4 linked regions of the Anolis sagrei genome follow. The protein of the gene in region 1 interacts with the protein of each later gene in a pairwise test. Links are inferred from orthologs where the notes say so. Each region holds a gene or a part of one and is shown in the gene's direction. Other genes may lie near its edges.

What was found.
Region 2: the proteins of PACSIN1 (region 1) and JADE2 interact in a two-hybrid assay, tested with the Homo sapiens proteins (2 studies listed by BioGRID and IntAct). The link is inferred for Anolis sagrei from reciprocal best matches to the Homo sapiens genes PACSIN1 and JADE2.
Region 3: the proteins of PACSIN1 (region 1) and ANKRD24 interact in a two-hybrid assay, tested with the Homo sapiens proteins (2 studies listed by BioGRID and IntAct). The link is inferred for Anolis sagrei from reciprocal best matches to the Homo sapiens genes PACSIN1 and ANKRD24.
Region 4: the proteins of PACSIN1 (region 1) and EHBP1 interact in a two-hybrid assay, tested with the Homo sapiens proteins (2 studies listed by BioGRID and IntAct). The link is inferred for Anolis sagrei from reciprocal best matches to the Homo sapiens genes PACSIN1 and EHBP1.

The regions. Positions count from the first base shown.
Region 1 is NC_090024.1:189,108,211-189,115,652, forward strand, and holds the start of PACSIN1 (protein kinase C and casein kinase substrate in neurons protein 1), read left to right. Parts: upstream 1-4,434; 5' UTR 4,435-4,624; intron 4,625-7,442. UniProt on the Homo sapiens protein: Plays a role in the reorganization of the microtubule cytoskeleton via its interaction with MAPT; this decreases microtubule stability and inhibits MAPT-induced microtubule polymerization.
Region 2 is NC_090022.1:91,846,429-91,853,690, reverse strand, and holds the start of JADE2 (E3 ubiquitin-protein ligase Jade-2), read left to right. Parts: upstream 1-4,252; 5' UTR 4,253-4,339; coding exon 4,340-4,345; intron 4,346-4,381; exon of another isoform or gene 4,382-4,480; intron 4,481-7,262. UniProt on the Homo sapiens protein: Scaffold subunit of some HBO1 complexes, which have a histone H4 acetyltransferase activity. Acts as an E3 ubiquitin-protein ligase mediating the ubiquitination and subsequent proteasomal degradation of target protein histone demethylase KDM1A.
Region 3 is NC_090034.1:49,847,410-49,855,000, reverse strand, and holds the start of ANKRD24 (ankyrin repeat domain-containing protein 24), read left to right. Parts: upstream 1-4,567; 5' UTR 4,568-4,779; coding exon 4,780-4,848; exon of another isoform or gene 4,849-4,852; intron 4,853-7,591. UniProt on the Homo sapiens protein: Component of the stereocilia rootlet in hair cells of inner ear.
Region 4 is NC_090021.1:152,430,297-152,437,311, forward strand, and holds the start of EHBP1 (EH domain-binding protein 1), read left to right. Parts: upstream 1-4,013; 5' UTR 4,014-4,199; intron 4,200-7,015. UniProt on the Homo sapiens protein: May play a role in actin reorganization. Links clathrin-mediated endocytosis to the actin cytoskeleton. May act as Rab effector protein and play a role in vesicle trafficking.

The DNA.
Region 1 (7,442 bases):
ATAATTACACAGTATTTTAGTCAGGAAATGAAAATCTAAAAAGAAATGGGGCAGCATTGATAGTGAGATACAACAAAAGCAGTCAAAAGATATCTTGTAAAATTTGATTGAATAATATCAATAATATTTCTGGAAAACCCCATCAATATAACCATTATCAATATTTATGCTCAACTACAGAGGCAAAAATAGGAACAATTGAAAAGCTGTATGCTGAGTCCAAGATGAAATTATTCATATACCAAAATAGAAGTTCTTGTTAAACATAGGTGATTGGAATGTAAATATAAGAAACAGAACAATATCAAAGCCTGTGTGAAAATTTGACCTAGGAATAAGAAATAAAGTAGGAGGGTAACTATGTTCATTGAAAACACATTCTTCAAGCAATTGTATATATGGACATCATCTGATTGATTTATTTCATCTCAAAAGCATTGAATAAATAAGTATAAAACTGATAAAAATAGAAGGAGGCACAAGTGGCTAAATAATTTTTGACCAAAAATGGGCAACAGCGACCACATTGTCTGTGGACTTAAACAATTCTTCCTCTGTGCATGAGGCAGGACATTGTGGCCAAGCATACAGTTGCCGAGTTGTTTCTTCTGCTCCACAGTCGCACAAGGTGGAGGAGTCTTCTAAGTAGTGCCATTTGCCAGATTGTCTTTTGATCTGCCCACTCCACGTCTGAGTCTATTCAGGGACTTCCAAGTTGGCCATTCTTGGTTTGCCCTGGAGGAAGACCCTAGTGGGGGGGGGGGTCCATTTGGGATTTCCTGCTTTAACTGCCTAGAGGGATACTCTTGCTGTTGCTGGGGGAACGTTAAGAGGAGTGGTGATTCTAATGAAGCTTTTCTTGATTTGAGTCTACTGGGAGGAGGCCGATAACCATACAGTGGATGGCTTTCACAGTGTTCAACCTTGTTTCTCTCACAGTTAGCAGCAACTTCCCATCGCACATCAGGGTGGGGAACGATGCCAGGTAGCACCTGATGGCCAATAGAGAAATCAAATAGGCTATATAATTGGAAGCAAATGATGGAGAAGCTCCATTTTGTCTGCAAAAACTAGATCAAGAGCACCTTGTGGCACAAAACATGAACTAATAAGATTTTTTTAAAAATCAAGTAAAGCTAATGACAAACATTAAACAAGTCCTCTTGCAAAATCAATCCTGAACAGCATCCTCATAGAATTGAAATATACTATAAAAAGGAGATGTATATAATTAAACCTAATTGATTGAAGCAAGGAACATTTTTTCAACTGGCAAACACTAAGAAAATGTAACTGAAAAACAACAAATGCATCTAACTTTTTGTACTACAGTGTTTCTGAAATAGTTTACAAAAATATGACCAAACTTGTTTTTCCATCAGCACCATAATATCCTGTTTCTTATATACTTTAAATAGGCTCAGTAACATTTTAGTCATATAGAGTTGACCGAATCAGTTTAGTGCCTTAGGCAAGCTAAGCTAACATAAAGTGCTTAGTCCCTAAGGCTTGCCATGTTATTTTGGCACATGATGCAGAAAATCCCAATGCCTGGCCGTAAAATGAGAACAACAACAAAACAATAACGATTTGCTGCCCCTTCACTGCCACTGAGTAAGACGACCACCTAATTTGCCAATAAGAAGGCAGGCCTTTTATAGGTGTACAAAACATCCATGTAAATGTCGTTCTTATGAAACAAGAAATATTATATTGCCATGTCTCTTGTACTGAAGATCTGGACAGAGAGAGGGCAGGAACTCCTCTTTGAGAACCAGGTTTCTCATCACAACTGTGTAGCTGTGTTAAGGTATCACATTGCATCCTGGAGAGGCCAGTTCTGTCTCTCCTGCTAAGAACTGTGTAAAGGAGGATGAATAATACAGGAGAGAGGAAGCAGTCAGATTTGCCTGAGTAAGCAGAGAGAGAGAACTTTCCCAAGAGGCGACCAGCACTATCCCAGATCAAATAACTATGTTCTTTTTTTCTGGGGCATACACATCACATGCCAGCCAACACAGTCACTCTTTAGAAGTAAAGCCCGAAGGAAAAGAGATCTTTAGAGCTGATTGTAAGTTGGAGAACATGCCTCCTTGTGAGATCCATAGCAATTTATCATGAACTTATTAATCATCTTTCTTTTATTGATAGAGTAAGTGTCTTTGTTACATAAGCAATTCTTTTGACTGCTGTGCAATTGCTTTTACTTATAGCAGCATGCATCTGAGAAAAATACTGGCAAGTCAAAGTAGATGCTTAAGTTTATTCTTGACTGACTGTGTTGAAAAAAAGGAAATTGTAGGAAGCCTTATTGATTCAAGTAGCAAGAGATGGGGAATCTATATGACAGCAGTATCCTATTCCTTTGTATCAAGCCCATGCGTGATAATCGTAAAGCAACACTGTTTGGTTATGAGTTTTTGTTGTATGTATTAGTTTGACTTTTTGGTCAAGAAAGGGATTTGCTGTATTAAGTATTGCAAATTACCACAAGAGGGCACACATGTGGCCTGATTCTCTCACAGTAGGTTTTCATCAAGGGAAGCCAGTTTCTTTTGTTCAGAGCTATAAGGCTGTTTACTGTGAAACCTGTCTTTGCATGTATGCTGTCACTCAGATCATCACTACAGGCCAGGCAGCTCAAGGATGTCTTTTTGTGCTCTGAATTATTCATAAAAACTCCAAACATTTATCTATGACAACTTTACATCTTCAGAACATATTTACAGCATTTGCAGGGTCAACTCAAGACATTTTGGTGCCTCAGGGCGAACAATACATGGTGCCTCCTGCTCACCCAAATGTACTGCCAACATTTCATGGATGAAAAACAGGACACGGGCAGCCAAGTAGTTTCAGATTGTGATCAAGGTGGCAAAAAAGAAGAACACTCTAGACAGGAGAAGCTGCAGCAGTTTGTCTTTGCCTAAATCTACAGGGAAGGGCAAAATTCTGACCCTCCTCTCCTCCCCCTGCTAAATTAATTGAGTGCAAACTATTTTTGCAGTTTGAACCCAGTTTTCAGCAACTGAAATAGGTTAATGATAATGGGAGCAGGAGGAAGGGAAAGAAACTGTGACAATTTAAAAGTTGCTGAAAAAGTAGGACTGTGCCTGCTAAATCTGGACAGTTAGGGGGTATCTGCAATAGTGCAAAACAGCAAAAGCCAACTAAGCCATTCTGGTCCATGAGTCAGGTTCTATGTGCCCTGCTATAACTCCCCAGATCTGTTACCTGAGGCAACTGCTTCAATCTGCTTAAAAATAGGACTAACCCTGGGGCTTATCTGGGATATCTGAAAGGATGCAGACTAGAGATATGCAAAGGAAAAGTGGCTCACCCATTATGGTTGCTATAACAGCCTGTGTCAGAACACACACCCAGGGGCAGCTCAACCCATTACGCAAAGTAAGCATTCGCAGTATAGTTGATTTTGCCCAGGGGTGCCCCTGAGGCGCTCTTGGGGGGAAATAGACCATGGCATATGCGAGTTGTAGTTACTGGGATGTATAGTTCAATCAAAGAACATTCTGAACTCCACCAATGATCGAATTGAACCAAATATGGCACACAGAACTCCCACGACGAACAGAAAATACATATCAGTGATTGGGTGGGGGGTGGGGGCAAAATAGTTTGCTTACCATTGAAAATTACCTAGGGCCGCCTCTGTACACACCAAACTCATTTCCTTTTTATGCTATCTACTCCTTTGTAGAGAATCCCAAATGTGGAACTCATTTTTCAATATGGTACTTTTTGAAAATAAATCTAGTCAGCTAGTAAAAAAGGAACAATAGGTCTAGAACCCACAGGGCAAACTATATATTATAGTATTTATATAGTGTTTATATCCTTACCACTTGTGTGCTGATGACAAAAAGCCCAATCCATCCACCCACCATGACAAATGGAATGTTACATTGGACCCAAGATGTGGAGGAAGATGAGCTTTAATTCTTTGTTCCTGCTGAGGTCCTAATCCAGAGAGGGCTTCTGAGCGTGCTATTTATTTCTTTAAGGTAACCACATGAGAACAAAAGGCTTGAACATCTGATCCATGCAGCTGCTAGAGTAACATGGCTCTGAGAATCTGATGTAAACATTGATGATAGAATGAGGAAAGGGACGTGGAGGGAAAAAATAGGGCAGGATGGGGGAAGGAAAAGAGGACATACTGAAGCCAACATGTAAACAGAGAAGGGGGGAGGATGGGGAAGGAAACAATTACACGTGTGTGGAAGAAAGGAAGTGCAAGAAGGTGGGGGTGATGGATGGGGGATCCAAGGAAAGGGAGAACACAAACAGCCCCCAGCTTATGTTCTGCTTTCTCTGCAGTAATGTGTTCACCTTGTGCTGTCAGCAAGTCATTACTCAGAGCTTGGCTAGCGATTGGCTGGCTAAAAATGCCTCTCTAATCTCTGGGCTGATCTTTACCCCCCTCCCACCCATCTGCTGTGACCTTCCTTCCAACGTGCACAAGCTGAGAAAGAAAGGGAAGAATCCAGTAGAGTTCCTTGCCAGGCAGTTGGCATCCAAACCAAACGTGAGACCGCAGTGCTACTCGGCTGGGACCCAGCTTTTCTGGCCAGGATCTGATGGTTCCTACAACCAATCCAGAAAGGTATGTTGTGGGCAATTTCTTTTATCCCTTAAGACCATCCTGCATCCTCTCCTCCACAGATTATATTCACATTTCTATAGGCTGTTCCATCAGCCAAGTGGTCCTTAGCATCATACTACATTTGGGATGCAGCCAGTCTTGATAGGAATGTGTATGTGTTTTTGTAAACCACCAGCCCATCTGCTATGCAGATCTTAAGGTGTGGGTGTTTGGCCTGTTCCTATGAGACACGTGGGCATCAGGTGGCTGCTGAGAATCATAACACACCATAAGGCCCTCTTTTGCACTGCTGTGCACCAGTCATGTTGTTCATGCTGGGGAAGAAACAGACATTCACTGGGCATTCAGAGAGGCAGCACTACTTTGTGGAAGGTTCTAACTTTGTTTTCTGTGGCACAGTTTCAGTTGACGTTGTTTCCACCTTCAGTGGTTCAAATTACCTGAGATGACTCTTATTTCACCACTTCATTTTCAATATTGCTAACATGATCAAGGTGCAAAGGAGTCATAAGATAAGCATGATTTGGATAAAACTTTGAGGTCCATGAATGAAATTGATAGATGTGTCCTGTCTGTGAGGTTATGGGTAGTCTCCATCCGCGTTCATATACAAAGTTGTTATAGATGAAACATTTATATTTCATGCATAGACATGGACAACAGTACATTGACAGCATAATATAAATAAATGAGAAAAGAGACTCACTCTGCAACACATATAGAAGTCTGGCTTACCATAATTATGACATGGATGTTCCCCAGATGGTAGTCCCTCTTTAGTGTGCTATCTTTGCTGCACCAATGATTTGCTATCTCCAACTGGAAATAGGGACAAAATACTGGCACCATCCTAAGATCAGCTGCTTTGTAGCTGAAAAAGCACTGACCCATAAGCCTTTTAGACTCTATCTGGGTCTTCTTTGTTTTAAGCTTTATACGGGTTTACCCTGCCAGCTGTTTCTAAGGCCACCATGGAGAGGATAGGGAACAGATTAGAGAGAGAAAGGGTTAGCTTGAAAAGGGGTCTCTTGCTTACTCCTCATTTGCAGTAACAAAGTCCTCCAGGGCATAGTATATTATCAAGTACACACTACTAATAAATCATTTCCATTTTTTTCTCCATCCAGACCAAGGAAGTAATGTAACATTACATGTAATATATTAATTTTGGGAGGTAACAAAATTAGAGTTAGAGTTTTGTGCAAAAATAATATAGGAACTGGCAACATCATTACTTTGGGAGCAGAAGCAGTCACCTTCACCTTTCATTTGGTCAGAGGTCCAGTTTTGGGCCTCACTCATTTTTTGTATTGTTAAGTTTACTTTCAATAACAAACAACATTAGTTACTTTTTAAAACATAATACCAAGTCATGAATTACTTAGTAAAATAATAGTGCAGGGTCTATATTCATTATGAAGTCTTTCCTCTATAATTTCAGTAATTTTAAAAGACAGAGAAATTTCAGTTCAAATGCATTTAAATTCTGCCAGAAAAGAACATAGTAAAAACTCTATTTTTTAAAATACAGTAATTGAACTGCTCTAAAGGGATTTATTTTCTTTTAAATGGTTCATTTTCCTTTCTTTTCTTTATTTTATAGGCATCTGTGCATTATTATATTATTTGCTTAACAAATAAGAGAGAATGAAGAGCTGTTATTTTCTAAAACAGCAATAAGAACTGAGAACCAGGGTGGTGCCATGGTTTGAGCACTAGACTGTGACTGGAGACGAGGGTCTGAAACCCACTTGAGCAAGCCACACTCTCTCAGCCTCAAAGAAAGGCAAAGGCAACTCCCCTCTGAATCTTGCTAAGAAAACCCTATAATAGATTTGTCTGATGTTGCTATAAATTGGAAATGACTTGGAAACACATAACAACAACAACAAACGTGAACTGAAGCAGCTATGTACAGATTAAACTTCTTATTTTCAAATCTAATCTATTCATCTCCTAATCTGTTGCTGTTCTTTGGGTATCACGTGATATTCACATTCTGTGGCAGATGGTGGCTTCCATATAAATCTACGTTTTCCCATCAGAGTTTTAATTTAAGCATTAATGGATCTATCCAAGGTGCTGAACTCTAGCCCCAAATATGTAAATTCCCCAGGAAATGTCTTTCAAAGCATAGTCTAAGACCTAGAGTTGATTTAATAATCCATTAGTGTGAAAGCCAGCAGCCAATATTTTTCAGATTTCCACTAGAGGGAAACGCTTTCTAGGAAGGGCAAATGTTTTGATCTGTGGCACCCTGGATTCTTCTCCCTTCATTTGGCTCTTGCTGAGCAACTTTTCAAACTGTTAATCTCCTTAGCATGGCTATGTGTGGTCAGCTGAATATCTCTTGAATCCTCACATCACTCTTAACACAAACCTGCACATCTCTACTCAGAGGAAAGCCTTTGTGAGTTCAGTGGGACTTATTCCCGAGATAGCTTGTATAAGGTTAGCTTTAGACCTAAATCCTTTTGCTCTCTTCTCAACTAAAGCAGACCCATTGATTCAATGAGATTTGCATACATTTTAAACTCATCATTGGGCAAACGATTCCTTGTTTCTGCTTTAGCTGGAGTTAGCAATTGGATGTAGGCTTACATACTAAGAGCTTTGGCTGTTCCTGGATCCAATTTGGTCTCTGTTCAGTCACATGACTGATTATTTTATTGAAAGGAAGTCTTCAGGTGACCTCTTTGACACTCCAGAGAAAGATTCCTGTACTAATAGTTGTTGCCTCTTGTCTTTGTATCTGAACTGCCCCAAATCTAGAAAGGTCAGCACAATTCAATCATAACAGCCAACTCTAGGAAACCAA
Region 2 (7,262 bases), on another chromosome or scaffold:
CTGCTAGGTTGGCAGAAGTTGGGGCTAACAGCGTGAGTTCATGCTGTCCCACAGATTCAAACTGCTGACCTTCTGGTCAGCAATTTCTGCAGCTTAGTGTTTCAACCCGCTCACCACCGAGGCCTCTGTGTGAATTCATTTATAGTATCATAAAACATTGCAGTTTGAATGCTAGGGGAAATGAAGCCATCATAGTATTTTCTAAGCACTATGTTGTGAAATGGATTCTTTGTCAGTAATGAGGCTGTGTTTATACTGTTGAATCAATGCAGTTTGGCACTACCTTTAACTGGTATGGCTTAATGGATTAATGGCTTAATCATGAGGGTTGTAGTTTTGCAAGGAATCTATCCTTCTCTGTCAAAGAGTGATGGTGTGCCATCAAGCTTCCAATTTTGAGATTTCAAAGTATGGATTCATGGCAGGTAAAGTGGTAACAAACTTAGACCTGCTCAAGCTGTGGCTCTCCAGGTGTTAGCCCCAGTTTCTGCCAACCTAGCAGTTTGAAAACATGCAAATGTGAGTAAATCAATAGGTACTGCTCAGGCGGGAAGGTAACGGCGCTCCATGCAGTCATGCTCACCACATGACCTTGGACGTGTCTATGGACAATGCCAGCTCTTTGGCTTAGAAATGGAGATGAGAACCAACCCCCAGAATTGGACATGACTGGACTTAACGTCAAGGGGAAACAACTTTACCTTTACAGTTCCAGTGAATATTGGTTGACAAACTCTGAGTGTTAGTGTGCTGTCACACGCTGGGCCTGTGCATAAGACTGTAGACAGGACATAAATTCTGTGTGCCTAACAGGACGCCGGGGCTGCCTCAGATTAAAGGCCTTTGGACCTCCCCAAAACAAAGTCTTTAGATTGCTTAAAGGTTCAACAAAGTTCTTTATTAATGAAAACAAACAGCTATTTCAAGGCTTTCTTGACAGTCTATAGCCTCTTTCAATCTTGTCCACAGGGAACAGGCACTATCTTCATGACTGGTATTTTAACTAATGGGGAAATCCTTAACTTCTAATCTGGGCAGTCTTTCTTTGCCTCTGTTGGCATGGAGCCCCTACACCCGGTACCAACTGCGTCTGGCTTCCGCAAGTGACCCTTACCAAGCAGAGCTTTGTAGACTTCCAGGGAAAAAGGAGTTCAGGTTTTGGTGATGGCTGGCTGAAGTCCCTCAGCAAAGGAGCTGTAAGGCTGTATCTCCCCGGCCAAGCCGTAGGCTGTATATCTCCCTGGCCAAGCCATAGAAGATGAAGCTTTCTACAGGAGCTCTTGGTATTATGTCCTGCATGGAAAGCTTCTCTGTGTGGACTGAACTCAAAAAGGTTCCTATTCCCTCCAAAAACCCAAAGGGGGCGGGACCAGGGAACCTAACGATAATTGACAGGTGGCTTTCCCTATGATTGCAGCCAAAAGAAGCCACCTATCTGCAGAGTCCCTGAAACTTAGGACTACCAATGAACATTCAATGCAAAGCAAACAAAATTGGAGCTCCTGGTACAGCTGTACCTGCACAGTTAGAGTAAGACTCTAGAGACCTGGGGGGGGGGGGGCATCTACGCTGTAGAATTAATACGTTTGGCACTACTCTAACTGCCATGAAATTGTGGGATTTGTAGTTTGGCAAGGCACCAAGTACTCTGTGTCAGAGAGGGCAAAAAAAACCAAACACACAACCATGCAACACTGCAACTCCCAGCATTGCATAGCCATGAGACATGGCAGTTCAAGTTGCATTCATTCTCCGGGGTTGATCCAGCTCAGGATTGACCATAGAAACTCACTCCTGGACAAGGCACTGACTCTCATAGAATCATAGAATTGGGAGAGATCGCGTGGGCCATCCAGTCCAGCCCCCTGCTAAGAAGCAGGGCAACCCTCAACCCTAGAAAACTCTGGGCCAGGCCTGACATAGGTTGGCAACGGCTTGAAGGTACACCCCAAGAGCCAAGGCTGTGGGAAAGCAGCGCTGGCTCTTGAACCTTGAGCTCTGGAGCTGTTGAGAAAGTTCAGCCGTCAGGAGCGCATCCAGCCCCCAAAGCCCCAAATATTGGCGGGCAGCGCTTCGGGGGAGGGGACAAAGGTCGCCGGCGCACTTCGGGGAAGGAGAAAAAGCAAGAGCTGTCCTCCTTTCTGGCGGGGGGGGGGGGGTGACCAACCGTTGCAAAGGGGGCGAGGGAGGGAGGGAGGGAGAGAGAGCCACCAGCTCGCTTTCCTAGCTGCTACCGCCTTGTTTTGTGCATCATCCCAAGGTCAAGGCGAGCACGGCAAGGGGCGGGAGGAGGAGGAGGAGGAGGGCGGACCCGGCTCCTCTCCTTCCTGTGTCAACTGTGCAAAGTTCTCTCTCTGTGTGTCTGTCTGCAAACCGCAGAGATCTTGGGGAGGAAGAGAGAGAGAGAGAGAAAAGGAGGTGGGGGGGGGGGGGGTGGAAGGATCTCAGCGAGCCGGGCGTGAAGTGGGACAAACTGGCGAATCAGGAGGGAGAAAAGGAAGGCAGGCAGGCAGGCTGTCCTCGAGGCCGCCCCTCCAGGCCCGGAGCGCGCGCTCCCCGCCTCCTCCTCCTCTTCCTCCTCCCTCTTGGCAAGCACCGCCACGCCGGAGGAGCAAGTGCTTCCTAACGGCTCCCGGTCGGAGTCTCTGTGTATATGTGTGGGACACACCTTGGGCTCCGCACACCTCCTTCCTCAAGAGAGAGAGAGAGAGGCCAGCCCCACAGAACTTTGCGAGCCACGCCGAGGAGCCCCCTGAGGGGAACTTCCTCGCCGCCCGAGCCCACCCAGCCAGCCACCCAGTCGGCTTGGGGGTCTCTTGCCTGGCCTCCTTTGCCTCCCTCCCAGCTCCACCCCCACGCCCCCTCCTGCCCTCTTTCCCTCCCTCCCGGCTCCGCGCGAGACGCGTCTTCTTTTTTGACGCAGGAAGAAATGGCAAATTTGAAGTACGTCATTAATATGGCGCCAAAAGATTTGGTTAAGTATAATCTTAGGAGGAGGATGCTTTGGGGGGAATAACACACACACATACACACACCCCCGCGGATCAGGAGCGAGGTGCAGGTTTAGCTCCGAGGAAGGGAAAGCAAGCTCTGGGGTCGGTGTTTTTTGGAGGGTGGGAAAAGAGTGTTGCACCTCCGAGGAAGGGAGCCCAGAAAGTGCGATCCCTGCCTCTGTGTGTGTGTTTATGTGTGTGCATTCGCGCCAGGCTGAAGATCATTGCGAAAGTGACCTGATCAGGCTTGTTGGAGAGGGATCTCGAGGGAGAGAGAGAGAGAGAGAGAGGGCAGGGAAGGCGAGCGAGCCTGGCTTTGGCGTGCCTCCCTCTCTCTCTCTCTCTCGGAGTGAGCCCTTTGCAGCTGCCCAAGGCGCAAGGAGAGAAAAGCAAGCGAGCGATGGGGACTGGGCGCATCGGAGGGAGGTGAAGGCGAGGGAGGGGAAGGGGGAGGAGGGGAGGAGGGCGAGAGGGAGGGAGCGAGGCAACACATGCCCAACACAATCAGGGATGGGACCCACGTCTGCAGCTGCACCTGGACCTGCTGCTCGCCGGGAAGAAACAACCAGCAAGAAAAGAAGAAATTGAAAAAGGGGGGAAGGAAGGAAGGAAGGAAGGAAGGAAGGAAGGCGCGTGGAGAAAGGAAAAGGGGGAGAGAGAACTCGCCAGCATCATCACTGATCCACTCCTAAGAAGAAGAATCCGAAGTCGCTGCTTGGCCAGTAGAGAAGGAGGAGGAGGGAGAGCAAGGGCCAGGGTGGCAGGATTTTCGGGAGAAGAAGGAAAAGAAGAAGAGGAGGAAAAGTGGATGTAAAAAAGGGAAGAGAAGCGCGGGGCAGGGCCGGCCGGGTTGGGCTCCGCGCGGCCGTCTCCGCGGGAAGCCGAGCCCGGGGGATTGTGTGCGCGCGCCTGCCCGCTTCCTGCGCCCATGGAGTTACTTTGTCTCGAGTCCTGAGCGGAGGGGCGAGCAGGGCAAGGGAGAGAGGGAAGGGCAAGGGCATGCGGCGCCCCCGGACCCCCCGCCCTCGCCGACGCCCCCTGGCCTAACGCCGCTCCCCAGGAGGAGGAAGAGGAGCCCTCCGCTTCCCGGACAAGGTAACAAGCCAGCGGAAAGCTGCCCCTGCCTTCCTTCCCTCCCTTCCCTTCTGTTTCTCCGCAGCTTCCCTGGATGGCTGCCTCCCTCTCTCCCTCCTTCCTTCCTCCTTCTCCCTCCTGGCGTTTGTTTGCTCCCTGCCTGGCTGCAAAGGAGGAAGGCGGGGTGCGTGCAAGAGAGAGAGAGAGAGAAAAAAAAGCGAGTGCGCGAAGTGTGTTGTTGCCTCTTCCGACCTGGATGGTGGTGATGGCGCATGTTGGTCCGTCCTGCTTGGGAGAGAGAGGGAGGGAGGGAGAGAGAGAAGGAGGGAGGGAGGGAGGCGGCAGGGATGTAAACAACCAACTTTGGGAAGCTTCCCTTGGATTAATGACTGCGGCAGGAGCCAGACCCAAAGGTCGGTCTCCAAGGAAGGCGGGAGGGAGGGGGGCATGAGGAGAAGAGGCCGAGCAGTTCTCTTTTGGGGGGAACGAGAGGGGGGGGGGCAAACCGACTGGGTTTCCCTCCCTGCCTGGCAGAGGGGTTGGGCTGGATGGCCTCTTCCAACTATGAGCCAATGTGAAAGGGAAAGAGGGGTGTGTGTATTGGGCTAGGTGACCTCTTCCAAATATGATGGGAAAGGGGTGTGTGTGTGTTGGGCTGGATGGCTTCTTCCAACTGTCTGAGCCTATGTGAAGAGGGAAAGAGGTGTGTGTGTTGGGCTGGGTGACCTCTTCCAAATATGAGCCTCTGTGAAAAGGGATAGAGGTGTGTGTGTGTGTGTGTTGGGTGGGATGGCCTCTTCCAACTCTCTAAGCCTCTGAAAAGGAAAGAGGTGTGTGTATGTATGTGTTTTGGGGCTGTGATGGCCCTTGAGGTCTAATCCAACTGTTATGATGAGGAGAAGGGGTGCTGTATGTGTTTGTGGATTGTGATGGCCTTTGGAGTGTCTTCCAAGTCTTAGGGTGAGAAGGGGTGAAGGAGAGGTGTGTTGTGTGTGTGTGTGTGTTTTGGGTCCGCGGTGGCGCGCGGGGTCCGGGGCAACGAGGAGCGACACGAGTTCCGTTTGTGTTGGTTGATCCGCAGCACGTTTCGCAGCCTCTTTTCCGCGGCGCCCACATGATCGGAGCCTCTCACGTGTCGCCAGCCAGGGTTGGGGGCTTCCTCTCAGCGCCTCCCTCGGATATAAACAAGCCTTCCCTTTGGAGAGAGAGGGAGGGAGGGAGGGCGAGCTATCTCTCTCTCTCTCTCTCTCCAAAGGGCAGCAGTAGCAGCACCCGCCTTTCTTTGCTGGGGCGCTGGTGGCTTTGGCAGCGCGGGGCGGGACATTGTGGTCGTCGGCCTGGAGAGATTTGGGAATGGAAATGTACAGCAGTGGCCGCCAAGGGAGCTGCGCGGCAGGGAGGAGGAGGGCTGGAGGGGGCGTGGCGCTTGTTTACCTTCTCCAACTCGCCCGGCTCCCTCCGGTGGGGGGGGGGGTCTTCTCCTCTCACCCCTCCGCCTCCTCTTCCTCCTCCTCCTCCCCCCGCTGGTCTTCCCCTCCCGGAGAGCCATTGCTTCCACTCAGCTGACCTGCATTCCCTCCCTGGCATTGCACTTGGCTCCCGCCTTGGCCAGGCATGGGCAAACATCGTCCCTCCAGATGTTTTGACAGTCGGTAGGGTGTTAGGAATTGTGGGAGTTGAAGTCCAAAACACCTGGAGGGCCAAAGTTTGCCCATGCCTGCTTCAGGCTCAGCCAAGGTAATACACATTTAGAATAATGATGGCATCTTATATCTTCCATGCCTAGTCTATGCTGTGGGAATGATGCACTTTGACACCACTTTCACTGCCATGGAATCATGGGATGGGTAGTTTTACAAGGTCTTCAGTCTACTCTGCCCAAGAGGGCCGGTGCCTCGTCAAACTCCAAATGCCATTGGAAATTGAGCCATAGTGGTACCAGGCTGCATTATTTCTAGATGCACCTAGGCTAGGCTTTCCTTAGCTCTGCCAAGCTGCAATCTCTCATGCAAGCATTGCTATTTTCCCCCTCCTCCAACCTCTCCTGGAAGGGGTGTCCAGTGTATCTCCCTTTCATGCTTTGGAGAGAAGGTAAAGGTAAAGCTTTTCCCTGACATTAAGTCTAGTTGTTTCTGAAGCTTGGGGGGGAGGGGGGATGCTCATCTTTATTTCTAAGCCAAAGAACCCGTGTTGTCTATAGACACTTCCAAGGTCATGTGGCCAGCACTGTTCCCTTCCTGCAGAAGCAGTACCTATTGATCTACTCACATTTGCATGTTTTCGAACTGCTAGGTTGGCAGAAGCTGGGGCTAACAGAGGGAGCTCACACCATTCCCCAGATTTGAACCGCTGACCTTTCAGTAAGCAAGTTTAGCAGCTCAGTGGTTTAACCCGCTGTGCCACCAGAGAATAGGTAGTGATGTTGAAACCCAACATTGTCTTGGAATTAATGCAGTGTGACAGCCCATCAACTGTCGTGACTTGATGCAGCAGAATCCTGGGAGTTGTAGTTTCAAAAAGTCTTGAGCCTTCTCTGCCAAAGAGTGCTGGGACCTCACCAAATTACAACTGCCAGGATTCCATGGGATTGAGCCAGGGTGGTTAAAACACTGCCAAACCGCATTAATTCTGATAGGGTAGAAGCACCCATAGTTCAAGGTGGGGAAATATGGGGGGTGAAGAGAAGGTGAAAGTTTCCTCCTTTTTTTTCTTTGCTCTCATGTGTTCCTTTTGGAGCAGGTGACATCCTCTCCCTCCCTTCCAGTCATGAACACCTTTCTCTTGGCCACTCCTATCCAACTCCCAACTTCAGATCTTCCTCAGGACATTGGGGGAGGGGTCGTAATAACCTTCCTCTGAAGCTTCATTGTGTTGCAGTCCAAATTGACTTTTTAAAAAGCTGGGGGTGGGGGTACAGTTTGGAAGGTAAGACTGTGTTGGTAGTCTTCACATCCCCCCCCCCCCAACTCACTATAGACCTATCTTTTCCTAGTTCCTAATCCCATTGAGAATAAGGTTAGTCCAGGGATAAACAACAGTGCTAGCCATGCTGGTCCCCAAGGTAAACAAAAACCAAACCCATAGCTAGCCAGTACATGTATTATGTCCCATTGATAAAGTTTTCCTGTTTGTTTGTTTGTTTGTTTGTTTATTTATTTAAAATCTTCAAATCCTACCCTATATGCAACATTAAAA
Region 3 (7,591 bases), on another chromosome or scaffold:
GCCATCAGCCACTAGAGGCCACTGCCTGACTCCATCCTAATGAAATAAATACATAATAATGACATAATACTAAAATAACAAAATAATAATTAAATAAAAAATATTATGATATTAAAATAAAAATAAAATAAAATAATAATATATAATATTACTATAATATATAATAAAATAATATTATAATAATAATTATGAAGTAATGAAATATAATAAAATAATAACATAATAACAACATAATAATAAAATATTAAAAATACAATAATCTATATAAATAAAAATGTAATGTTTGTTTGTGGTATTAACAGAACTCAGAAACCACTGGTCGAATTGACACCAAATTTGGACACAATACACATAACAGTCCAACGAGTGTCCGTCACCCATAAACACACACACACACAAAACCCCAGCAGAACAGACTTAAAAATCCAAAAATACACCATATATACATACACACATACACTCATATACATATGCACATGCACACATTCATACACGCATGCGTATATATGTATATGCACAAACACACACAAATACACACATACACACACAAACATATATACATATACACATGCACACACATATACATATCCACACACATACATATATACACACAAATATGCATATAGACAAGCACACACATACACACAATATGCATGTACACATATAAATACACAAATATACACACACATATATATACACACACATATACACCCGTATATATATGTATATGTATATAAGCAAACACACATATATACACAAATATATACACACATATACACAATATGCATATACACATATAAACACACAAATACACAAATATATACACACACACACACATACACACACACACACATATATACGCACACATATATACACCCCAGGGGCGGCTCAACGCATTACGCAAAGTAAGCATTTGCAGTATAGTTGATTTTGCCCAGGGGCATTCTTGAGGCACTCTTGGGGGAAAATAGACCTTGACATATGCGAGTTGTAGTTACTGGGATGTATAGTTCACCTACAATCAAAGAGCATTCTGAACTCCACCAATGATGGAATTGAACCAAATATGGCACACAGAACTCCCACGACGAACAGAAAATATTTATCTGTGATTGGTTGGGGGGGGGGGGCAAATACTGTTTGCTTATTGTTGAAAATTACCTAGGGCCGCCTCTGATACACCCCTATATATATGTGTATATGTATATAAGCAAACACACATATATACACAAATATATACGCACATATACACAATATGCATATACACATATAAACACACAAATACACAAATACACACACATACACACATATATATATATGCAAACACACACATACACAAAACACATATACACAGACTGAGCCACAGCAACGCATGGCAAGGGACGGCTAGTAATCTATATCATAAAATCATAGAACAATAGAATCAAAGAGTTGGAAGAGACCTCATGGGCCATCCAGTCCAACCCCCCGCCAAGAAGCAGGAATATTGCATTCAAATCACCCCTGACAGATGGCCATCCAGCCTCTGTTTAAAAGCTTCCAAAGAAGGAGCCTCCACCACACTCCGGGGCAGAGAGTTCCACTGCTGAACGGCTCTCACAGGAAGTTCTTCCTCATGTTCAGATGGAATCTCCTCTCTTGTAGTTTGAAGCCATTGTTCCGCGTCCTAGTCTCCAAGGAAGCAGAAAACAAGCTTGCTCCCTCCTCCCTGTGGCTTCCTCTCACATATTTATACATGGCTATCATGTCTCCTCTCAGCCTTCTCTTCTTCAGGCTAAACATGCTCAGCTCCTTAAGCCGTTCCTCATAGGGCTTGTTCTCCAGACCCTTGATCATTTTAGTCGCCCTCCTCTGGACACTTTCCAGCTTGTCAATATCTCTCTTGAATTGTGGTGCCCAGAATTGGACACAATATTCCAGGTGTGGTCTAACCAAAGCGGAATAGAGGGGTAGCATTACTTCCTTAGATCTAGACACTAGGCTCCTATTTGTATAGATAAAAATGTAATGTTTGTGGGATGAACATAACACAAAAACCGCTGGACAAATTAACACCATATTTGGACACAAGACACGTATCAAGCCAACAAGTGACCATCACTCAGAAAAACACTGAAAAACACTGAAGAAGGGACTTAAAAAGCAAAAAAAGCAAAAAATGCATGTGCAAAACTACATATATATATATACGCAAACACACATATACACATGCAACGCGTGGCAGGGGGATGGCTAATACAATAATAATAGTAATGCTACGCCCCACTAGAGGCCACTGCCTGAGTCCATCCTTTTCCCTTCCTGAGCTTCTTCTTTGCCATTGCAATTCCATCATTGGCCACTAGAGGCCACTGCCTATTTTATTTATCGTGTCATCAGCAACCATACCATTGTATTACATTTCTAACAGAACAAAACAAACACAAATTTTGCAAATTTGGTAGTTGTTTAAATGTCCTTTGAAGAGTATCTGGCCACTTGGAGTGCCTCTGGTGTTGCTGCAAGAAGGTCCTCCATTGTGCATGTGGCAGGGCTCAGGTTGCATTGCAGCAGGTGGTCAGTGGTTTGCTCTTCTCCACACTCGCATGTCGTGGATTCCACTTTGTAGCCCCATTTCTTAAGGTTGGCTCTGCATCTCGTGGTGCCAAAGCGCAGTCTGTTCAGCGCCTTCTAAGTCGCCCAGTCTTCTTTGTTCCCAGGGGGGAGTCTCTCATCTGGTATCACCCACGGATTGAGGTGCTGGATTTAAGCCTGCCACTTTTGGACTCTCGCTTACTGAGGTGTTCCAGTGAGTGTCTCTGTAGATCTAAGAAAATTATTTCTTGATTTAAGTCGTTGACGTGCTGGCTGATACCCAAACAAGGGATAAGCTGGAGATGTCTCTGCCTTGGTCCTTTCACTATTGGCTGCTACTTCCCAGCGGATGTCAGGTGGTGCAATACCGGCTAAGCAGTGTAATTTCTCCAGTGTTGTAGGGCGCAGACACCCTGTGATAATGCGGCATGTATCATTAAGAGCCACATCTACTGTTTTAGTGTGGTGAGATGTGTTCCACACTGGGCATGCATACTCAGCAGCAGAGTAGCATAGCGCAAGGGCAGATGTCTTCACTGTGTCTGGTTGTGATCCCCAGGTTGTGCCAGTCAGCTTTTGTATGATGTTGTTTCTAGCGCCCACTTTTTGCTTGATGTTCAGGTAGTGCTTCTTGTAGGTCAGAGCACGGTCCAAAGTGACTCCCAGGTATTTGGGTGTGCTGCAATGCTCCAGTGGGATTCCTTCCCAGGTGATCCTCAGAGCTCAGGATGCTTGTCTGTTCTTAAGGTGAAAGGCGCATGTCTGTGTTTTAGATGGGTTAGGGATCAGCTGGTTTTCCCTGTAGTAGGCAGTAAGGGCACCTAGAGCTTCGGAGAGCTTCTGTTCAACCATCTCAAAGCTCCCTGCTTTGGGGGACATGAGAGAAGCCTCCTCGCAGGATTGCAAGACATCCGGGCATCCCCTGGGCAACGTCTTCGTAGATGGCTGATTCTCTTGCCTCAGAAGCAACCAGAAGCAAGGTTCTTGTGGGGTTTTTCGGGCTATAGAGCCATGTTCTAGAGGCATTTCTCCTGACGTTTCGCCTGCATCTATGGCAAGCATCCTCAGAGGTAGTGAGGTCTGTTGGAATTAGGACAATGGGTTTATATATCTGTGGAATGGCTGGGGAGGGGCAAAGAGCTCTTCTCTGCTGGAGCTAGGTGTGAATGTTTCAACTGACCACCTTCATTAGCATTTGAAGGCCTGGCTGAGCCTGGGAAAATCTTTTGTTGAGAGTTGTTAAGATGTGCCTGGTTGTTTCCTCTCTATTGTTTTGCTGTTGTAATTTTAGAGTTTTTTAATACTGGTAGCCAGATTTTGTTCATTTTCATGGTTTTTTCCTTTCTGTTGAAATTGTCCACATGCTTGTGGATTTCAATGGCTTCTCTGTGTAGTCAGACATGGTGGTTGTTGGTGTGGTCCAGCATTTCTGTGTTCTCAAATAATATGCTGTGTCCAGAAGCGACTTGCAGCATGCAGGCCACTGCCTGAGTCCATCCTTTTCCCTTCCTGAGCTTCTTCTTTGCCAATGCAATTCCCCCATTGGCCACTAGAGGCCACTGCCTGAGTCCGTCCTTTTCCCTTCCTGAGCTTCTTCTTTGCCAATGCAATTCCCCCATTGGCCACTAGAGGCCACTGCCTGAGTCCATCCTTTTCCCTTCCTGAGCTTCTTCTTTGCCAATGCAATTCCCTCATTGGCCACTAGAGGCCACTGCCTGAGTCCATCCTTTTCCCTTCCTGAGCTTCTTCTTTGCCAATGCAATTCCGCCATTGGCCACTAGAGGCCACTGCCTGACTCCAGCCTTTTCCCTTCCTGAGCTTCTCCTTTGCCATTGCAATTCCGCCATTGGCCACTAGAGGCCACTGCCTGACTCCAGCCTTTTCCCTTCCTGAGCTTCTCCTTTGCCATTGCAATTCCGCCATCGGCCACTAGCGGCCACTACCTGACACTATATTTTTCCCTTCCCGAGCTTCTTTTTTGCCATTGCAACTCTCCACTGTTGGACTCCCTCCTTTTCCCTTTCTGATCTTCTTAATCTTCGCCCTTGCAACTCCCCCATCGGCCACTAGAGGCCACTGTTTGGCTCCATCCTTTCCCCTTTCTGATCTTCGCTGGACCACTTTCTTCCCAGCATCTGAGCCGAGAGCATCCTTCATCTTTGCCTTCTCCATTCTCCCCTGTTTCGCTCCTTTGCATTCGGATGGATGGCGACCCGCTACTTCCTCGGGGGCACCATGAAGCAGATCTGCTTTTGTGCCGCTTCCTCCTTTGCGGTAGGTGAGACCACTCCTCCTTATTTCATTTATTTCTCCTCCGATGGCTTCCTTTTCCTCCGCTCCACCATAATCTCCATCCAGCTTTGTTTCTCGCAGGCTCCTTTGCACTCTGTGCATGCTCAGAGGTCAAGCAGGCGGCTTCCACCTTTGCTGCATTGTATTCTATCGTTCTTTCCTTCACATTTGTACGTCAGTGATAATTATGTTATTTTTATTATTATACTATATCATAATATTATATATATATTATAATATATTATAATATATATTATATTAATATCATTCTATATATTACTTTACTATTATATTTTTATTAGATATTATATCATTATCATTATACACTATTAGTTTATTATATATTATTATATTATATTTATTATTTTATTTTTATTATACTATATACTTATTATTATATACTATTTTATTAGTATATTATATATTACTATATAATGTGTATTATATGTTACATTATATGTATGCTTGTATTATTTTTATTTTGTATATAGTTATTATTATATATGATTGTTTTATTATATTATCTATTATTGTATTATATTTATTATTATATATTATATTATCATTATATATTACTGCTCTATTAGTAGTATTTGTTATTTTAATATTTTATTAGTATATTATGTATTAATAAGGGTACATTACATTGTTTTGGAGCATTGTTGCTGCTCGGAGTCTCTTTCAGGACAGAAAAGCAAGGCCTGGGTTAATATTGCAAAAATAATAGCTAATAATAATAGCTAATATAATATAATATTGCAAAAATAATAGCTAATAATAATAAAATGATAATATATAATAAAACATTAAAATATTATAATAATAAAATAATATAGATAATAATATAAAATATAAAATAATAAAATAATAAATATAATATAATATATAACAATATATAGTAATATATTACAATAATAATAATATATAATAAAATAATATTAAAATATTAAATAATAATAATAATAATAATAAATGCAACAACAACAACAACAATAATAAATACAATCTTAATGCTATGGCCCATTTACATGGAAGCCATTGCAATTGTCACATTGTCTTCCCACTAAGGAGATTTTAAGGACACTCCGGAGGCCAACATGTCAGCAATTCTCAATTAAAAACGCTGATGAGCATTGGAAGCTGACTGTCAACAGAGCAAGGGCCTCTTTTCTATCAAACCAAAGGAGGAAAAGCCGAGGTCTTTAAGCAGTGGCTGGGTGTTCATCTGTCAGGAGTGCTTGGATGGTGTTTTCTTCCATTGGGTTAGACGGGGTCCCCTTCTGATGTTTGAAATGCTATGATTCTCTTAAATGAATATTAGCCAAGCTAGTGGAATGGATTGATGACCCGCTCATTAATTGAGGTTGGACTGGATGACCATTGGGGGTCTCTTCCAATGTTTCACCTTTGTTTTATGCTGCCGAGAAAGACAAAGATTGAGGCCCTTCGGATTAAACACCACCACCAAAGCCAGGTGACGTCCAGGGAATATTAATACAAAGTCAGAAAGGGATTATCTTTAAGCCGAGGGAAGGAGCAGAGGAGGAATATAGAGGGCATCATACCATTTGGAGCTATTCTTCGCAGATTAAGAATTGGGTCCAGCTCTTAAATATAAAGGAATGGATGGCTCCTATGGTGATGGGGAGAGGAACCCACTCCAGATTTTTCATTTAGACTTTGAAGGACCTCTCCAAGCCGCTGAATCTCATTCCTGGTCCTTTTCCCCATCTAGGCGACCTCCTTGAAAGCGCTTTTTTCAGTGCCTTGGAGAACTTCCCTTGATGTTCTCTCTTGGTTCAGTGCTTTGGAGACCTTCTTGAAAGACTTGTTCAACATATTGGCACTCTCTCTTGGTTTAGCATCTTGGAGAACTTCCTTGGTTCAGTGCCTTGGAGATCTTGTTGAAAGCACTACCTTGGTTGAATGTCTTTAGATCCCCTTGAAACTTTCTCTCTTGGTTGAATGTCTTAGAGATCTTCCTTGAAGTTCTCTCTTAGTTCAGTGCCTTGGATACCTTCTTGAAATACTTCTTTCAACACCTTGAAGATCTCCCTTAAAGCTCTCTTTTTGTGATCTTCCTTGATGTTCCCTCTTGGTTTGGCCTTGGAGACCTTCTTGTCTAAACACTTTGGAAATCTTCCTTGAAGCTCTCTCTTGGTTTAGCATCTTGGAGAACTTCTCCTGATGTTCTCTCTTGGTTCAGTGACTTGGAGACCTCCTTTAAGTTCTGTCTTGGTGCAGCATCTTTGAGATCTTCCTTGAAGTTCTCTCTTGGTTCAGTGCCTTGGAGACCTTTTTGAAAGACTTAGTTCACTACCTTGAAGATCTCCCTCAAAGTTCTCTCTTGGTTTGGCATCTTGGAAAACTTATTCTGATGTTGGTTCAGTGTCTTGGAGTTCTTCATTGAAGTTCTCTCATGGTTTAGTGCCTTGGAGACCTTCCTGAAAGACTGGGCTCAGTGCCTTGGAGATCTCCCTTGAAGTTCTCTCTTGGTTTAGTGCCTTGGAGATCTCCCTTGAAGCTCTCTCCCTGTTCAATGTCTTAGAGGCCTCCCTGGAAGCTCTCTCTCAGTTCAATGTCTTAGAGATCTCCCTTGAAGCTCTCGCTTGGTTCAGTGCCTTAGAGACCTTCTTGAAAGACACCTTGGAGATCTCCCTTGAAGCTCTTACTTCATGAACTTCCTTGAAGTTTTCCCTTGGTCCAGTGCCTTAGCAAGCTTCTT
Region 4 (7,015 bases), on another chromosome or scaffold:
GGAAAAGTTTTAGATTTTGGAGTATTTCAGATTTCAGAATTTCAGATAAGCAACCTGTATAAGCAATGAGGGGGAGCAGACTGTCTCAGGACGGCACTATGGAATTGCTTCACTGGAGTAAGGAGCAACGAAAGACAGTTTAGTACCACAGTTCGCACTGCTTGCATCACATAAATATTCTATGGAGAATACAGTATTTTGATATTATAAGATAGTTTGGGTCTGTGTTTTGTACATATTGAAGAACACCTTTTCAAACCTTTCTCCTTTCCATGCAAAATCTTCTATTCATATTAACAAAGTGCTGGGACAAACCCACATGATGACTGCAGAATAAAAAATATTCTTTTGTAGCACGGACTAAGTTTTTCACTCAGCTAACCATATCTTACTAGAGCAGTGGTTCTCAACCTGGGGTCCCCAGATGTTTTTGGCCTTCAACTCCCAGAAATCCTAACAGCTGCTAAACTGGCTGGGATTTCTGGGAATTGTAGGCCAAAAACATCTGGAGACAACAGGTTGAGAACCACTGTACTCGAGACAAAATTGAAGTACTTTGGCCACATCATGAGGAGATAGCAAAGCCTAGAGAAGACAATTATGCTGGGGAAAGTGGAAGGTAAAAGGAAGAGGGGCCAGCCAAGGGCAAGATGGATGGATGGCATCCTTGAAGTGACTGGACTGACCTTGAAGGAGCTGGGGGTGGTGACGGCCGACAGGGAGCTCTGGCGTGGGCTGGTCCATGAAGTCACAAAGAGTCGGAGACGACTGAACGAATGAACAACAACAACCATATCTTAGAGGCAAAAATTTCCCAGGAAGATGGGTCACGTGTACAGACAAGCCTCCTTGGCAGTCCCATTTCCACAATTTTCTGGAGTTGCTGCTACCATCTGTCCACAAAATTCATGTAACTTAAAAGCATAATTGAAACTTTGGAATCAAAACTTTTATACACCACTCTGTTTCTCTGTGTGTCTAGCGATGCATCTGCACTGTAGAGTGAATGCAGTTTGACATCACTTTAAGTGCCATGGCTCAATGCCACGGAATCTTAGGAGCTGAAGACAACAAATTCCCACAAAAGTGTGTGAAAGAAAACCCTTAATGTTTGATACCAAGATCCTCTGTGGCTCCATTGGAAAACACAGCCAGCCAGATGTTTATTTATTTATTTATGCCACTTTTATCCCGCCCATTTCAGCCCGAAGGCAACTCAGGGCAGCGTACAAATCGGCAACAATTAGATGTCATATAAAAATACATACATTGGTTAAAAGCAAGCAAAAATCACGTCATAATACATTTAAAAACCACAAAAGCAATAAAAATAAAAATTCTAAAACTATGTCTTCCTGTTCAAGGGTGATTAGGTTATTCCTAATCACCTTTCTATGGAATTCTTTGGAAATCTCCTAGGACATCAACTCACCTCGTCCTTGTCACATCCTCACCCAGAGAAAATCACCATCATTCCCATATAATTATGGAGAATGGGAGAGGGACATACAAGGAATTCGAGTCAGAGACTTTTGGGTTTCTTTATCTATTCGGCATATGGCCTCGGCTAGTCTGGGAATGTTCCCTTTTCCTAGACCTCTGTATCAGCTCCCTGGGGAGAGGGCGATCAACTAACAACACCTGGGTGCACTTTATTGTATGTTAAGATTATCCCTATTGTGTTAACCAAGCCCATCATGGACTCATTTCCCAGTGCCACAGTGCATTGCTTTCTGATCATGCCCTTCACAGAGGCGGATCAATAAACAGACTCAAAATAAACCAATGATAATTTACTAAATGTAATGCCATACAAAGCAATGACCAGCAATGATGTTTTTCAACCAATCGGGAGCTCGCACAGGTTTCTTGAATAGCTGTCAAATGAAATAAAAATACTCTGTATTTGCAATTCAGATTTTTTTTTTGTCGTGTCAGGAGTAACTTCAGAAACTGCAAGTCGCTTCTGGTGTGAGAGAATTGGCTGTCTGCAAGGATGTTGTCCAGGGGACACCCGGATGATTTTTGATGTTTTTATCATCCTTGTGGGAGGCTTCTCTCATGTCCCCGCTTGGGGAGTTGGAGATGACAGAGGGAGCTCATCTGCCTCTCCCTGGATTCGAACCTGCGACCTTCAGTCCTGCCAGCTCAACCTAGCAAACCTTTTGTATCATTACCCCAATACCCTCATGCATATGGGATATATTGAGTATGGTTATCAGATCATGATATGAATAAACATAACAGTTTAAATAATGCACCAGTAAGGCCTTTTCGCAGACCACCATGAGAATTCCGGGGGGGGGGGGCTGAAGCCCCCCCCGGCTACATGCCTGACCCCACCAATGACATAATTGGGGCAAACTTCCCACACAGAACCCCCATGACCAACAGAAAATACTTAAGGCCATCCAGTCCAACTCCCTTCATCAGGGCAAGAAAACGTAATCAAAGCCCTCCTGACAAAGAGCCATCCAGCCATAGATATAGATAGATATGATTCACACACAGAGAGATATAGTATCATAGATTTGAAAGGGACCCCTAAAGAAGGACAATTATATGTCACATGTTCCAGAGTAGGCAAACCAAACAATCTCCACATCAACACTGACAAAGAAACAGCAAGAAATACCATTTACCCACAAGCATAAAGAAATTACATGTATTAGAAAGCAACACTTTCTCATTACTTTATATTCCAGATCACCAGACTGGGCCACAGCAACGCGTGGCAGGGGACAGCTAGTACTATATATATATATATATATATATATATATATATATATCAGTGCTTGCTGCTATTTTAGTAATGTGATTTTCAAGAAGATTCCATCTGAACATGAGGAAGAACTTCCTGACTGTGAGAGCCATTCAGCAGTGGAACTCTCTGCCCCGCTTCTTTGGAGGCTTTTAAACAGAGGCTGGATGGCCATCTGTCAGGGGTGATTTGAATGCAATGTTCCTGCTTCTTGGCAGGGGGTTGGACTGGATGGCCCATGAGGTCTCTTCCAACTCTTTGATTCTATGATTAATCTGAATTATATGACATGATAGCCATGTATAAGTATGTGAGAGGAAGCCACAGGGAGGAGGGAGCAAGCTTGTTTTCTGCTTCCCAGGAGACTAGGCCGCGGAGCAATGGCTTCAAACTACAAGAGAGGAGATTCCATCTGAACATGAGGAAGAACTTCCTGACTGTGAGAGCCGTTCAGCAGTGGAACTCTCTGCCCCAGAGTGTGGTAGAAGCTCCTTCTTTGGAGGCTTTTAAGCGGAGGCTGGATGGCCATCTGTCGGGGATGCTTTGAATGCAATATTCCTGCTTCTTGGCAGGGGGTTGGAGTGGATGGTCCATGAAGTCTCTTCCAACTCTGTGATTCTATGATTCTATGATGGCTTTTAAACAGAGGATGGATGGCCATCTGTCAGGAGTGATTTGAATGCAATGTTCCTGCTTCTTGGCAGGGGGTTGGACTGGGTGGCCCATGAGGTCTCTTCCAACTCTATGATTCTAAGTCAATTCCTGTATTTCCCTGGCAAACTTTGTTCTGGACTTCTCGTTTCCAGATCCATTGAGGTTTTCTGGGCCAGGTGTATGGAGAGGGGTTTTCCTTGGCCTTCCCTTGAGGCTGAGAGAGTGTGCCTGGACCAAACTGTTTCCAGGGCCGACCGAGGATTCGAACCCGGATCCCCAGAGTTCAGGACCAGGCTCACCTCCCTCCTCTCCCCGCGCCCCGCCCAATCTCAGCCACAACTCCCCCACCCTCACCCAGACCCAAGGGCGGGCCGCTTCCCTTCAAACGGACGCCCCAGCTGTCCAATGGCGACGCCTTTCGGTATAAACAACCCCGCCCCTTCGGAACGCTACGGACCAATAGCAATGCCCATTTAGTTGAGAGGGGAACGAGCGCATCGTTTCTTTTTCCCTCCTGCCAGGAGGGCTTCATTGCCCCCGCCCGCTCCGTTCTTGACTGAGATTGGCATTGCTGTCCGCCAATGAGCGCGCGCGGCCTTTGGGCGGGGGCGGTCCCCCCCAGCTCAGGCACACGCGGGTTGGGTTGCGCTGCGGGGCGAAGTTGCTGTGAAGGCGCAGAGGCGAAGGTGGCGGCATCGACGGGGACGGCGGAGGAATGCGAGGCGCCGCGGCTGCTTCCGAGGCGGGAGAGGCTTCGTCTCGAGCCGTCCGCGTGGCCGCTGAGGTAACAGGCGCGGGCCAAGCGGCGCGTGACAGGGAGGGAGAGAAGGAGGAAGGGCGGCCAAGGGGCTGACTGGTCTCCCCTCAGTCAGTTCGCCTCACGCTGGGGGCCTTCTTTCCCCCTCCAGCATTACCCAGAATGCCCCAGAGGAGCCCTCACTACGGCTGGAGCTTCCCTCGGACCTGCCTCTCCCTCCCTGGCTGGGACTGAAGTGTGGCAGGTCTCCCCAGCCGGCCACCGCCTGAGGGAAAGGAAGGATGCCCCTCGGCCGCACCCCCTGCCTTCTCTCTGCCCTCTGCCAAGGGAGGAAAGACTCTGCTACACCTTTCCTTCCCTTTCTTCCCCATCAGCATTTAGACAAAGAACTTCTCCAGTCTGCGAGGTCGGCATAGTAATAATAACAACAACAATAACAATAATTTATTTCTATCCCGCTTTTCTCTCAGGGCCCTTCCACACAGCCCTGTAACCCAGAATATCAAGGCAGAGTAACACACAATATCTGCTTTGCACTGGGTTATCTGAGTCCACGCTGCCTTAGATCCCAGTTCAAAGCAGATATTGTGGGATGAACCAACCTGGACACAGCAGATTATTGGAGAACACAGAAATGTTGGACTGCTTCGCTCATCTGGAGAGGCCCTGCTCGCGATTCCATCTGCGTCGCAGGCGCGTTTGGTGGGGACGAGGGACAGGGCCTTTTCTGTGGTAGCCCCCCGACTTTGGAACTCAAAGACATCAGACAGGCCCCTACGTTGGCAGTCTTTAGGAAGTATTTGAAGACCTGGCTGTTCCGATGTGCCTTTCCAGAATAGGAAAACTCCAGCAACACGTCCCAGAAGCACTTTATTAGAGTTTAAGGTTGCCTGCACACTGCACTTACCCTACCACCTGTCACACTCAGCACTTTTTAATCTGTACCCATTACATTTGGCCCGGCCCTAGTTTTATCATGTTTTGGTGTACTGTTTTTGTTGTTCTGATATTGCTTTAATTGTTTTTGATTTGCTTTAAGTTGTGTATTTGTTATGTTGTTGTTTTATTGAGGCCTTGGTATGTGCCGGCAGAACTGAAGACCAACAGGTAGCAGGTTTGAATCCAGGGAGAGGTGGATGAGCTCCCTCTATCATCTCCAGCTTCTCATGCAGGGACATGAGAGAAGCCTCCCACAAGGATGATAAAAACATCAATTCATCCAGGCGTCCCCTGGGCAACGTCCTTGCAGACGGCCAATTCCCTCACACCAGGAGTCACTCCTGACACGACAAAAAATCATAAAAAAAAAATTGAGGCCTTGGCCTTTGTAAGCCGCATCGAATCCTTCAGGAGATGCTAGCAGGGTTAATAATAATAAAATAATAATAATAATACTCTCATAACTACCATGTCAGACTACACAAATAAAGTTAATAATAATAATAATAAAAATAATACTCTCATAACTACCATGTCAGACTACACAGAGAAGCCATTGAAATATACAAGCATGTGGACAATTTCAACAGAAAGGAGGAAACCATGAAAATGAACAAAATCTGGCTACCAGTATTAAAAACTCTAAAATTACAACAGCAAAATAGGCACATCTAATCACCTCTCAACAAAAGATTACCCCAGGCACTGCCAGGCCATCAAATGCTAATCAAGGTGGTCAGTTGAAACATTCACACCTAGCTCCAGCAGACAAGAGTTCTTTATCCCACCCTAGTCATTCCACAGATATATAAACCCATTTTCCTAGTTCCAACAGACCTCACTACCTCTGAGGATGCTTGCCATAGATGCAGGTGAAACGTCAGGAGAGAATGTCTCTAGAACATGGCCAAATAGCCCGGAAAAACCTACAACAACCCAGTGATTCCAGCCATGAAAGCCTTCGACAATATATTGTGGGATTTTCTGCCTTGATATTCGGGATTATATGACTGTGTGGAAGGGCCCTAACTGTAATCTGGTCTTCCCCCTTTCCCAATGCATTCTACCATACCAAGCATTGCCTTTCCTAGGGAATCTTATCTTCTCACATTATGCCAACAGTGCAGTAGTCTTAGTTTAGAATCCTAGAGTTGGAAGAGACCTCATGGGCCATCCAGTCCAACCCCCTGCCAAGAAGCAGGAACATTACATTCAAAGCACCCCTGACAGATGGCCATCCAGACTGCTTAAAAGCCCCCAAAGGAGCCTCCACCACACTTCAGGGCAGAGAGTTCCACTGCTGAACAGCTCTCACAGTCAGGAAGTTCTTCCTCATGTTCAGATGGAATCTCCTTTCTTGTAGTTTGAAGCCATTGTTCCACATCCTAGTCTCCAGTGCAGCAGAAAACAAGCTTGGTCCCTCCTCCCTATGACTTCATCTCACATATTTATACATGTCTCCTCTCAGCCTTCTCTTCTTCAGGCCAAACATGCCCAGCTCTTTAAGCCACTCCTCATAGGGCTTGATCTCCAGACCCTTGATCATTTTAGTCTTTGGACACATTCCAGCTTGTCAATATCTCTCTTCAATTGTGTGTGTGCCCAGAATTGGACACAATATTCCAGGTGTGGTCTAACCAAGGCACAATAGAGTATGGGTAGCATGACTTCCCTGGACCTAGACGCTATACTATTGATGCAGACCAAATATGGCTTTTTTGCCGTCACATCACATTGTTGGCTCATGTTTAACTTGTTGTCCACAAGAACCCCAAGATCTTTTTCACACGTACTGCTCTTGAGCCACACGTCCCCCATTCTGTATCTTTGTATTTCATTTTTTCTGCCTAAGTGGAGTATCTTGCATTTGTCACAGTTGAATTTCATTTTGTTAGTTTTGGCCC